Caenorhabditis elegans: one gene and its partners. The protein of the gene in region 3 purifies or fractionates together with the protein of the main gene of each other region. This does not show direct contact. Each region holds a gene or a part of one and is shown on either strand. Other genes may lie near its edges.

Evidence for each region.
Region 1: the proteins of F37C4.5 (region 3) and hrg-11.2 fractionate together in Caenorhabditis elegans (co-fractionation; one large-scale study listed by BioGRID). This does not show direct contact.
Region 2: the proteins of F37C4.5 (region 3) and W08E12.7 fractionate together in Caenorhabditis elegans (co-fractionation; one large-scale study listed by BioGRID). This does not show direct contact.

Annotation. Positions count from the first base shown.
Region 1 is NC_003284.9:3,233,236-3,236,988, forward strand, and holds the start of hrg-11.2 (C-type LECtin), read right to left. Parts: upstream 2,174-3,753; 5' UTR 2,172-2,173; coding exon 1,992-2,171; intron 1,947-1,991; coding exon 1,835-1,946; intron 1,786-1,834; coding exon 1,163-1,785; intron 1,119-1,162; coding exon 1,058-1,118; intron 1,013-1,057; coding exon 842-1,012; intron 698-841; coding exon 626-697; intron 583-625; coding exon 391-582; intron 300-390; coding exon 182-299; intron 127-181; coding exon 6-126; intron 1-5. Other genes in the region: Protein irg-7, read right to left, coding at 2,676-2,709, 2,757-2,960, 3,004-3,320, 3,365-3,448, 3,495-3,640, 3,684-3,753.
Region 2 is NC_003282.8:3,293,412-3,297,164, reverse strand, and holds W08E12.7 (Peptidase M24 domain-containing protein), read right to left. Parts: upstream 2,031-3,753; 5' UTR 2,021-2,030; coding exon 1,889-2,020; intron 1,839-1,888; coding exon 1,122-1,838; intron 1,068-1,121; coding exon 966-1,067; intron 917-965; coding exon 785-916; intron 737-784; coding exon 644-736; 3' UTR 139-643; downstream 1-138. Other genes in the region: pugs-9 (Protein Upregulated in Glial Subsets), read right to left, coding at 2,694-3,023.
Region 3 is NC_003282.8:3,871,869-3,875,621, forward strand, and holds the start of F37C4.5 (Protein F37C4.5), read right to left. Parts: upstream 1,939-3,753; 5' UTR 1,934-1,938; coding exon 1,784-1,933; intron 1,630-1,783; coding exon 304-1,629; intron 258-303; coding exon 63-257; 3' UTR 1-62. Other genes in the region: F37C4.6 (Pyridine nucleotide-disulfide oxidoreductase domain-containing protein 2), read right to left, coding at 3,620-3,753.

The DNA of each region.
Region 1 (3,753 bases), on a different chromosome or scaffold from region 3:
CATACTGGTGCTCTCCAATAAGATTCCAAGTGTACAATTGTTTGCTTCTCAGTGCTATCATTTGGATTGGCATCAGTGATTACATAGATTGGTGATTTGTTAGTTGGATAAAGAGAAAGAGCAGATCTGTAAAACAACCATGAAGATTCTGTAAAACATTGAAAAACTAGTCGATACTTACGCAACAGCAGAGAAAACAACATCATCACATCCACCGTCGGATGGGGCAGAGTTAATCGCTTTAAGTAGATCAACCATAGCGGCATCCCATGAGTCATATCTCTGGTTTACCAAAAGCTCTAAAAATTAAAATATAATGCATTACCGTTTCCTGATAAGAAGGTAGGCTTATGGGAGCCACCCCGGTAAATTAGTTGCAAATCAACTCACTGGCGTTATCAAAGAGCACAACGATGAAATTAGTGAGATAGCCAGGCTCGGCAGATAGTTCATCGACAATTCTTGAAACTGAATTTGTGGCCTGTTGAATAACATCTGACAATTGGCTTCTAGAACGAATGACCAGAGTAACAGTCGGGTTTTCAGCATTGAAATCAATTCCGGATGCACCAGGGCAGACAACTGTAATGCATTTGTGATCAGTTTATTTTCCGAGGCGACTTACTATTTTGACAGTGGAAACCGGTGAATCCTTCTGGACATTCACAATGTTCGCTTGTGGGAGTTGGAAGGAATCCTGAAAAATAAAATATTTGATGACCAATTTAGGCTGGCTCAAAAAAGTGTCCTTTTTAGAAGGTTGTCTTTGTGTTATCAACCATGTAGCACATCAATGGCAACATAGCGTTTTCTATTTAACAGCTCTAGTTACAGTATTCACCTCCATTAGCACACAACATCTGAGAACAGTCACGTCCGGTGTATAGTCCAAAACAGTAACAGTATGGTGAACCACTGGAATCCTTCAAAACTTGACCTCCGTTCTGGCAGGTTGTCAATGGAGCAGCGGTTGTTGTTGGAGCAGGGACAGTGGTGGTAGACACTGGTGGCACTAAATTACTCAGGTTGATTATTGTTGTCAACTACGTTCACTTACAAATACATTGGTAGGGCAGAATACGACGGAAAACGTATCCGTTATCGCTCATTCCTTCAACCTGAACTTTTATGATTGCAATTTATATCAATTCATTGCACTTACCTGTAATAAATTGTGCCCAATATCGTTATTTCCAATTTTTCTGCAAGTATACCTCTCCAAAATATATGGATAAGTACAATTGAAGCGAGTTGCCATAGGAATGTATCTTGAGATATGGTTCTCGGCGCCAGTGAATCCAATCGCCTGAATTTGACCGGGAAAGTGTAGTCCTTGTGCATGAAGAACAACAGCTGATTCAGTGTCAAAATAGGCAAACTTGAGGGTTGGATAGTCGCTGCGCTCTGGTTGATCGCCTGATGTAAAACCTCCAGTAACTTGAATATTGGTATGAGCGGTCATCATCATAGTACAAAATTCATCTCCAGAATCAGCTCTTGGTCCGAGAAGATACTGGCCTGGCGCTAAAGTCTCATATGTTGCCACATAGGAAGTTACGGTTTTTCTGTCAGTGTCAGGGAAGATCAGATCTCCACTCTCAGATTGGAGGTAGAAAGTTGGATTCAATGGTGACTCAGTTTCGACCTCAATTTTGATATTCCGCATGGTCTCATCAACAACAACGACGTATGTTTGACTGCAGTTTGCAAGATTTGTTGCATCAATAGAGATATCGTCAGAATCCTTGTTATCAGGAATGTAAGGATTGCGAGCAGAGCACAATGCTAAGAAATTGCATTTTTAGTTTAAAAACACATATGTGATCCGACTTACGATATTGACAGGTGGCTCCTGTGTATCCTGGCTTGTTACATCCTCTGGTGGCCATTCCAGCAAAAACATGAGGCTCGGCGATAGATCTTTTGGAGATATGATGAGTATCAACCTGAAACCATATATGGAACATAGTTAAACGAAATCTAGAACTTACAAAGAGATCGGACTGCTCATCGAATTGAATCTTCTGTTCACTGACTGGGTGGAAGAGTTGATTACTGTTGGCCGGGTTCCATGACTTTAAGACTTTGCGGATTCTCTCTTTGTGACTGAGCTCAGGCTCAGCGCCCAGGCAGATCACGGCTAACGCCGCAATCAAAACCCAGCTTCTCATTACTGAAATTTCACATTAATTTAATTGCTCTTAAACTCCAAAAAAACTAAATATCGTAAAAGGTATTGAGTTCTGAAAATGAATGTGAAAAGGCAGGAGCAGCCTGGCAAATCTAATGAAATTATCATGAAATAATGATTTAAACCCTTTTTAATCGCAAAAGGAGAGTGTGTCCGGCACGTCATATCACCGTGGCAAACTCTTATCTTTGCCATCTCAAACAGTATTAAAATTTATTCCACGCCCTTTGCATTCTAATTGAGTAGTAGCAGAATAATGTCACAGAATACGATTTTGTATCATCAAATTATTATCAAGCACTTTCTGATGATTTCGACTTGAAGTTCAACCACTAGTAAAGTTTATTGAATTGCCATCACATTTCACTTTTGTATTATATTTTTTCTCTCGTAATTTTGATTTTTCGGTCCAACACATAAATTGTTAAATAATGATAAGTTTATTAAAATTCAAATTATTTCAGTGATTTCCGGGTCGACTGCCTTAGTTGTTGATACAGTAGACACCTCCATTGGCGCTGAAAATAAGAACATTTCACTTAATGAACACACTTATATATCTTACTTGGCATTGAGGATAAGTTGCTGAATGGTCTTAATTTGGTTATTCAAACTAGCAAAATCTGGAGCTGTAAACGAGCAAGCACTTCCTCCGGAAATAGTTTGCAACTTGTTGTTATCAGTCGCGCCACCATAACCAATAGTGATGATTCCGTATTGCTTCTGCGCGAGAATTGTCTGAGCTGCCGGAGTTGGATCGGTGTCGAAGCTAAAAAATATTAATTTTATCTGGCAATCTTTTGAACACTTACGCAGTAGTTGTAGTAAGGTAGATCAACACATGGTTGCTAATGCCACTACGGTAACCATTGTTCGCCGCCATGAAATCGGGAGAAGACACAATTTGAAGAGTGTAGTTAAGAATTTGCCCGGCGTCTTCAAAGTCAGTGTAGCCACCGCTGAGTTGGGCCAAGTTAGAGTTCAACATTGCTTGAGAGGAGAGGGAGTTCAGATTGGCAGCAGGAGGAATTGGGTTTGTGATATCACCTCCGACGACAATTAATCCAACACGAGCTCCACTCTGGCCAACATTGAACGAAACCATGAATGTTTGAACAAATTTGGTGAGCTGAAATTCATATGATGGAAACATAAAGGGCATATAATGTATACCGAGTCAAAGCTGGATTGTGCACTTTGTGATCCATCGATCATAAATACAACATCAAACTGAGCGGATGTGTATGGATTTTGGGTCTGTAAGTTCAGAATTTCTAAATCACCAGTAATACTTGAAATTTACCGTGGCGACTGGTCCCTGAGTTGGTTGAGTTCCTGGGACTTGAGTTTGCTGAGTTACTGGACCTTGAGTCAGCGCGGTTTGTTGAGTTGGCATGGTGATTGGGCCAATTGTTCCTGTTGCTGGCTGGTTGGTTGTTGGGCTACGTCCTGAAAAATTTCTTGCACAATTAAACAAGTAAGCGTATATTACCATTGCAGATGACAATTTCTTGTCTTCTGAACTTTTGGTTTGCTTCATCAACTCCATGAACATAGACGGC
Region 2 (3,753 bases), 580 kb from region 3:
TATCAGCTCAGTCTGTTTGTATTTTCTCCAGGAACAGGAACAAGGAGCCTGTCTCCCCCCATCGGAGCAATTCAAAGTTCAGCATCAATACAACTAACGAGCATGTTAATGAATCGAGTTACACAAAAGAAGCTGCTGCTGCTGATTTCAATTTATTGGACACAAACTGAGAAAAAAAAATTAACGGGGGTTTGGGAAGGGAAACTGAGAACAAGTATATGATCAGGCTTTTTTCATCAATAAAGTGAATGTGATCCCAAATCAACAACCGGATTCCTATCATAGATGAATTAAACGGCTCACAGACATAACCGAGAATAAACCAACAAAAAATAATAATGATAATTGAACACAAGGAAGAAAAGAGAAAAAGGATAATAGTGGGAAGAGGTGGAAATGTTTAACATCGAGATTTTAACAGAATGATTTTGTTGTCTACCAGGGAAGAGAAACTAAAAGCAGTGAAATGAGCGTAGTTCTGAGACTACGGCTTTTACCCAATACAAAACCCAGTCTCAACCTTGGAAATCATTAGTGACAGAAAACCATCGGCATTTTAAATACCATTAAAGAGGCAGATAGGGGATAGTAGGAAAGAGAGGTCCAAAAGGGCAATCATAAATAGAAAGTGAAAAGGGTGAGTTTATGCTTTCTTGGCTGCTGGCTCGTCCTTCTTGGCCTCCTTCTTCTTCTTTGGCTTGAGGGCGGATTTCAGGACGGCTTGGAGTTCCGGGTCCTGAAAAAGATTAATGATAATTGTAAAAACATTGTTAAAGTATGTTACCTTGACGGTCAAATCAGATTGGTACACGTCCGAATCGAATGGGAGTCCAGCAATCTTCAGGAGTCCGTTTGGCATAACAAGAACGGTGGCCTTGAATTGAGCGACGAGCTCTCCTTCCTTCTCGTATAACACCTAAAATAGTTTTTTTTTAGAATTCGAAACGATAAATTGATGTGCTTACTGGATATGGAACAAGGAGTCCGTATTTCTCGCACTCGACAACTCCCATCTTTGCCTTGACTTCCTCCTCGAAGCTGCGCAGAGAGAATGGCATTGGTCCGTGCTAAAAAATATTAAATTATTGAATTGAAACTAATATCGATAAAATGACACTTACCACTTTGTTGACATCGGAGAAGAAGACACGAGAAGCCTTCATCTTGAGCTGGTAGCTGACTTGCTCGTTCTTTCTGAAGACGGTGGTACGAGTATCCATGTCCTTTGGCTGTCCTTTTCCGGTGGAGAAGAGGATATCGATGGCGTAAGCCTCGTGCTTGTCGATCTTGATCTTCTCGATTTCTCCCTTCTGCTTCTCTCCAGAGTTTTGAATGATCTTCTTCTCTCCGTCGATCTCGTTTCTCTCGAGCTGGTGGGAGAGCATGTTCTCGATTGGGGTAAGTCCGAATTCGGCAGCGGTCTTGTCGATGTTCTTTGTGATGGTGGTATTCTCAGTGTCTGGACGGAGGGAACGAATGGCGATTTCGAGCGCATCATGGGTTCCGCGGAGAAGATCGGCAAGCTTTCCGGTTACTTTGTTGTCCTTGGAAGCTCCAACTACAACGGTGTGAGCGGCGGTGGCGATGAGACCATCGATGTGTGTTCCGAGATCGACTTTGACGACTTGTCCATTCTTCAACACTACTGGAGCTTCGGACTTGAGCGGAGTGTAATGGCAAATGCAGTTGTCAATAGAAATGCAAGTTGGCATGGCGATTCCCTTGGTGAAGTTCTTCTCCTTCTTGTAGAGTTTTCCAGTTTTCTCGAGAATCAGCTTGTCTCCGAGATCGCAAAGATCTCCAGCGATGGCTCCTTCCTTAATGTTGGCGAGGACCTCCTGAAAACAAAAATTTAGTTTCACACAAAATCCAAACTATAGCAGCGCACCTTCAGAACAGCATTGGTGATTTCAGCAGCAACCTGGTACTTGGTGACGACGGCGTCGTTGGCCAAAGTGTAGTCCTCGTGAGTGTGGCTTCCATCGCTGGAGCAGCTGCTTTCACTGTCCTTTCTAACCATTTTGATCTATCTGAAAGAATAAACATTGAAATCGATACGGTCATGGAGACTAGAGAGAAGAAAGTGAAGGAAAATCCTATCGCTTAACAAATATAATTTTAATTTTGAAATCCCAAGCAAAAAATAACATTTTTATACCAACAAACATGTGTGAAACCGGCCTATCCTAAAACACAGTTTTTCTCCAACAAAATATTACTCGAAACGCATTATTTAGCATTTTTAATGAAATTTATCTGGGATATTGGCTTTTTGATGTAAAAATAATGAATTTCCTTTTAAAAAAGCGGCAGAAAACAGAAGAAAAAAGTAAAAAATGCTGATTTACAATTTGAACAGGCTCAAAGGCGCATGTCTTTTTGAACACAAATCGTTGCGAGACCTTCGCAATGGAGCGCGTTAGCAACAATTTTTTGTGGTGTCTCTTTATTCTCGCGCCCACTTTTCGTTTGTTTGAAAGGGGAAACTGTTGTTTATTTTTGGAAAAACAATCGATTTATTTTTTTTCGAAACAAAAATATTTATTTAATTTTTATTTCGAACAACATCATGACATCTAGGTGGGAGATAAGGCGACAGAAGATGGAAAAATGACAAAACTGCGTTGAAAATTGTGAAAAATTGAAAATTGTTTGTCACCGAAAAAGAATGACAGAAAATCGAAATGAATCAATCACTTCTTTTGTTTTGCCAACATATTTTGGAGAATTTTCAGCAATTCGATCGACTCAACAGTCGGCTGGGGCTGCGGCGGCGGAACAAGCAACGGAAATATTGACGGGGGACCGCCAAAAACGGGAAATGCGAGAGTGTTGTTCGCAACTAGAGACTGATAGAGAGCTAGCTGGAACGGGTTGAACGCCAGCGGCACAGGCAGTTGGGGTGCCGGCGGTTGAGAGAACGAAGAACTGAGAAGTTGGTTGATGGAAAGCGGCGAGGCAGACGAAGATGGCGTTGTCGAAAATGATGATGTGCTGGAACCACGTGACTCAATCGGTGGACACTGAAAAAAAATATTATCAGATTAAAAAACTCAAGTTTTTTAATCTAAAATTTCAATATTTTTAAAAAGAACATGCGCCTTCAATAGGGTACTGTAAAACTGTTATCTAAATATCTCGTAGCGAAAACTACAGTAATTCTTTAAATGACTACTGTAGCGCTTGTGTCGATTTACGGGCTCGATTTTCTCAAAAAAAAAATTTTTTTTCGAAAATTTTCGATTAGATTTATCGATGGAATATTAAAATTAAGCAACGAATTTCATATCGAAAATTGTGTCCGTAAATCGACGCCAGCGCTACAGTAGTAATTTAAAGAATTACTGTAGTTTTCGCTACGAGATATTTTGCGCGTCAAATTTTGTTGCGCAATACGCATCCTCGGAATTTTTCCCGGAATGTATTCCCGGAATAATATACTTCACGGCCCGGCAAGTGGTACATCCATGCAAATGCGCTCTACTGATAATTTGAGTGTAGACCAGGTTTGGGCGCGTGATAACGAAAAAAGCTTTGGTCCAAAAAATTTAGAATTTAATTTCGGACATTTTTTATATGCATCACAAAAAAACTGGACCAACCGTTTTTGAGATACACGCGCCCAAACGTCCAGGTATACGGTAGACAAATTGCGTACAGGTACCACTTCTCGGGCCGTGACTTTTGCGCCTTTAATCTTCAGACAAAATATGTTACCCTGACGCAAAAAAAGGGCGATTATAACGCCAAAAA
Region 3 (3,753 bases):
AAAGGAATTATTTATAAATTATACAGATCAAGTTAAAGCGGAAAAATCATCGCATAAGCACTTCAGAACTTCTCCTCATAGCGAATTTGCTCAGCCTGTGGGTGCTCGGTAGTGTACTTGACGACGAAAGTGCTGGACTGTCCTGGCGCAAGTTGGACGGTGTAGTCGAGAATCTTCTCCGGAGTGATGGCGGCTCCGACGGTTGGCTCGACGCTTGCCTCGTCGACTTCCACGGCTTCTGGGGTGTTGAGGTGGACCTGAAAAATGGGAAATTTAGGGGCTTTTTATGTATTCAATCTTTACCTTAATTCTAGAATCTGTGGATCTTGGCAACTGCTCGCGAATGGTGAGAAGCACCGAGTTGGGGCGAAGATTAGTGACGGCAGTGGTCTTCTCGGTGACCTGAGAGTTGATCTTCTCGACGGTTCCGCTCTGTTCCTGGTAGTTTCTGACAGGCTTGTACTCGATGCGGATGTTCGGGTCGACGCCCAACGACACCTCAAACTTTTGCGATACGACCGCATCTTCGAACTCGGTCTTGTTGACGAATGCTCCGTCGAGGAAGATCGATGCCTGACCGGCGACGAGTGGGTAGTCGGAGGTGTTGACCGAGTTGGCGACGAGGAACGCGGTGGCGTTACGGGATGGGACGGTAACGTTGGAGAGCTTGGTGTCGAGTGTGAATTGTCCGATGTTCACCTTGTACTCGTCGGTGCGATCGTCGATGGTGGCGGGGCGGCCAATGCTGAACTCGGAGGCAATGTTGCTGGACTTCACAGCCGCATAGGACATTTTCATGGATTTTCTACTTCTACCCATTTCCATCATCGGAGCCGCGCAGGCCATCACCACTGAATCCTGAGCGTAACCACCTCCATAACCTCCTCTTCCACCTCTGTTACATTCTGGTTCGGGCACAACAATCGATGCCTCGAGGGCTCCGAGCTTCGGAAGTTGCTTAACTCCGTGAGCGGGTCTTGCGGTTGACAACACCAATGGCACTGTCTTCCAGTCTTCTCCACTGTACTGACGGACCTTTCCGAAGTAGGTGACGTGCATCTCAGCTTCAACACCAGCAGTGACGCGGATGTCGTAGAACGGGGTCCAGGAGACGTTGTTCACTTGGTAGGTGATGGTGAGCTGTGCAGCACCACCGGCTTCTGACTCAACAATAATACTGGCATACTGAGCAGAGTTTCTCCATCTGTATCCGGTATTGTCGTAGTCTTGGCTAGCACGGGCGTACTCTTCCTCGGCCTTTCGCAGGTCTTGATCCAGGGTTCGGATCTGAGCGCGAAGATCCACTGTTGTGTCTTGATGGAATCCGTGGAGGGCGTTGAGACTTTCAATTGTGCGCCCGTCAAAATGGAAGGCGCCGTCCTTTCCGTGCTTGGCGACTTCGGTGATCAGATTGTCAAGTCCCTCGATGCGCTTCTGTACGGCAACTCGGCTATCGGCAACCTTGTCCTTGGCGCGTTCCTTTTCCTCGAAGATCGCCTTAATTGCGAGAACCCGCTCCGGGATCACAAACTCGGCACCCTCCTGGTTCTTGACGGAGACGTCGTGGATCACAGCTTCGCCGGCTCCGGAAACACGGATCGAGTCCTGGACGAGGTCGAATGGGAGGTTCTGAAAATTTTTTTATCACATTGTGTGAGTGTTTTTATGACTTTAACTTTGACAGGTAAGGTAAATATTGGAAATTTCGATGGTTTTGTTTGCTTAGCAGTAAAAAATGCAAAAAAAAATTATTTTTTCTCGTATTTTATAGCCCTTCACTCACCTGAACTTTAACCTCATTGTAGCCATGAGCCAACTCGACCTGGAAAGTTCTCTTGAGCTCAGCGCAGTTCGAGTCGGAGCTGTAGACGAGAGCCTGGTCGATGGCGACGTCATGGAGGGTGAGCTTGTGAGTTTGCACGATGTGAGCCATTTTTTCTGGAAATTTTGAGGTAAATTTCAAGGGAAAATTTGAAAAAGTGAGGCTAAGACGAGAGTTTAACAAATAAAATTCTACAAAACTGACTATTTTCTATTTTTTTTTCAACAAAAAAAAAACACAAGCAACTTCCGAATTTCTCCCAACACAAAAAAGAAACAAACAGAAATTGAAAGTGTTCATTTTTACGTAGATCAAAAATGTTCAAAATTAACTACGATTTTTTGAATTAAAATTTCATCTTGCAAAACACTGAAAAATCTAATTAGAAAATACAGAAATTGATATTTTCCAACAAAAAAAATCACGTAATTTTCAAATTTCGCACATTTTTTAAATGTTGCTAGAATACTGTGAAATACTACAAATTACAAATTTAAAAAATTGTTTCATGATAAAATTCCCGAAATTTCAAGTTTCGCAATAATATCCGAACTTTTTCGAAAAAAAAAAATTGAAAAATGTCATTACTTTCGCTCGTTTTAGACAAAAAATTTGCAAACTAGAGCTATTTATAAATGGAAATAAAGCTTTGAAGCTATTTTTCCCCGGAACTCACCAAAAATATAGGAAACTGCGATTTTGGCAGAAAATGTATTTGAAATAAAATGAAAAAAAAAATCGAATTCCCAATAATTTTTTTTGAGTAAAATACGATATTTCACGTATTTCGCAATCTTATTTTTCGTATGTTATTTCGAGAAGTTTTCTAGTTTTGAAAAAGCCTTAAAAAAGTAAAAATGTAAGAGAAAAAGCGGAAAGCAAAGCTCAAACGATCAGAAAACCATGGGAAACCCGAAAAAAAAATCTCCATAGAGATTTGAGGGAAACACTCCTCTCAACAACTAACAAATTGTGGCGTTTTGGCCGCTCTTTTATACGAGTTTTTGGCATTTCTTTCGCTGTCTCTCTATCTCTTCACAAGAGGCAGCAGACAACACAAGAAAAAGGTCAAAATCAAGCGATGGGCGGCATTCTGTTGTGTTCCGATGAGTTTCTCTCGGTTTTTTTTTCGAAACTGAGACGAGTTCAACCTTTGACCAAGTGGCGATGAGTTTTCGTACTTGCTGTGTTGGCGAAAAAAGATCCTGCGGAAGGAGCTGTAAAACTGGGAGCACAAATCACACTAGACTACTCAATAAAAATACGAATTTCACAAACTACAGAACCACAGCTTTTTTTTTGAAAATTTCAAGACAAATCTGTGGAAAATTGATTTTTAACCTGAAAAATAGAAAAGCTTGACAGTTTTCAATATACCAAATTACAAATGTTTGCTTTTTTTCAGGTATGAACATAAATTGGATATAGTTTTTCTTTTTTTTTTTAAATAGAAATTTCAACTATTTTTTGAAGAATTAATTTTAAAATCCAAAGAAAAATACATACGTAAATTCTTTTTAAAAATCTGAAATTATTTCCCAAACTTTTACGAACATTTTTGAAAATTTCTATAATTTTCTGAAGATTTCCCGCTTAACATTTCTAATTCCACCAAATCACTCAAAAATCAAAGGTCACCGCAACTAAATCGTGAATCAAAAGATCACTTCCTCGTCGTCTCCTCAGCAGTTTCGAAACACACATTTTGCAATACATCATGGTGTTGGAAATGTTTTTATGAGTCACTGGCGCAAGACAAACAAAACAATAAAAAACCGCGAGAAGAGACTTAGAACGTTAGAAATGTTTGAGGGCATGAAGTGCGCTCAACCGACCGGGGGCTCCAGTCACACCACCTCCCGGGTGAGCACCACTTCCGCAGAGGTAGAGGGACTCGATGGGCGTTGAGTAGTTGCTCCATTTGCTGATCG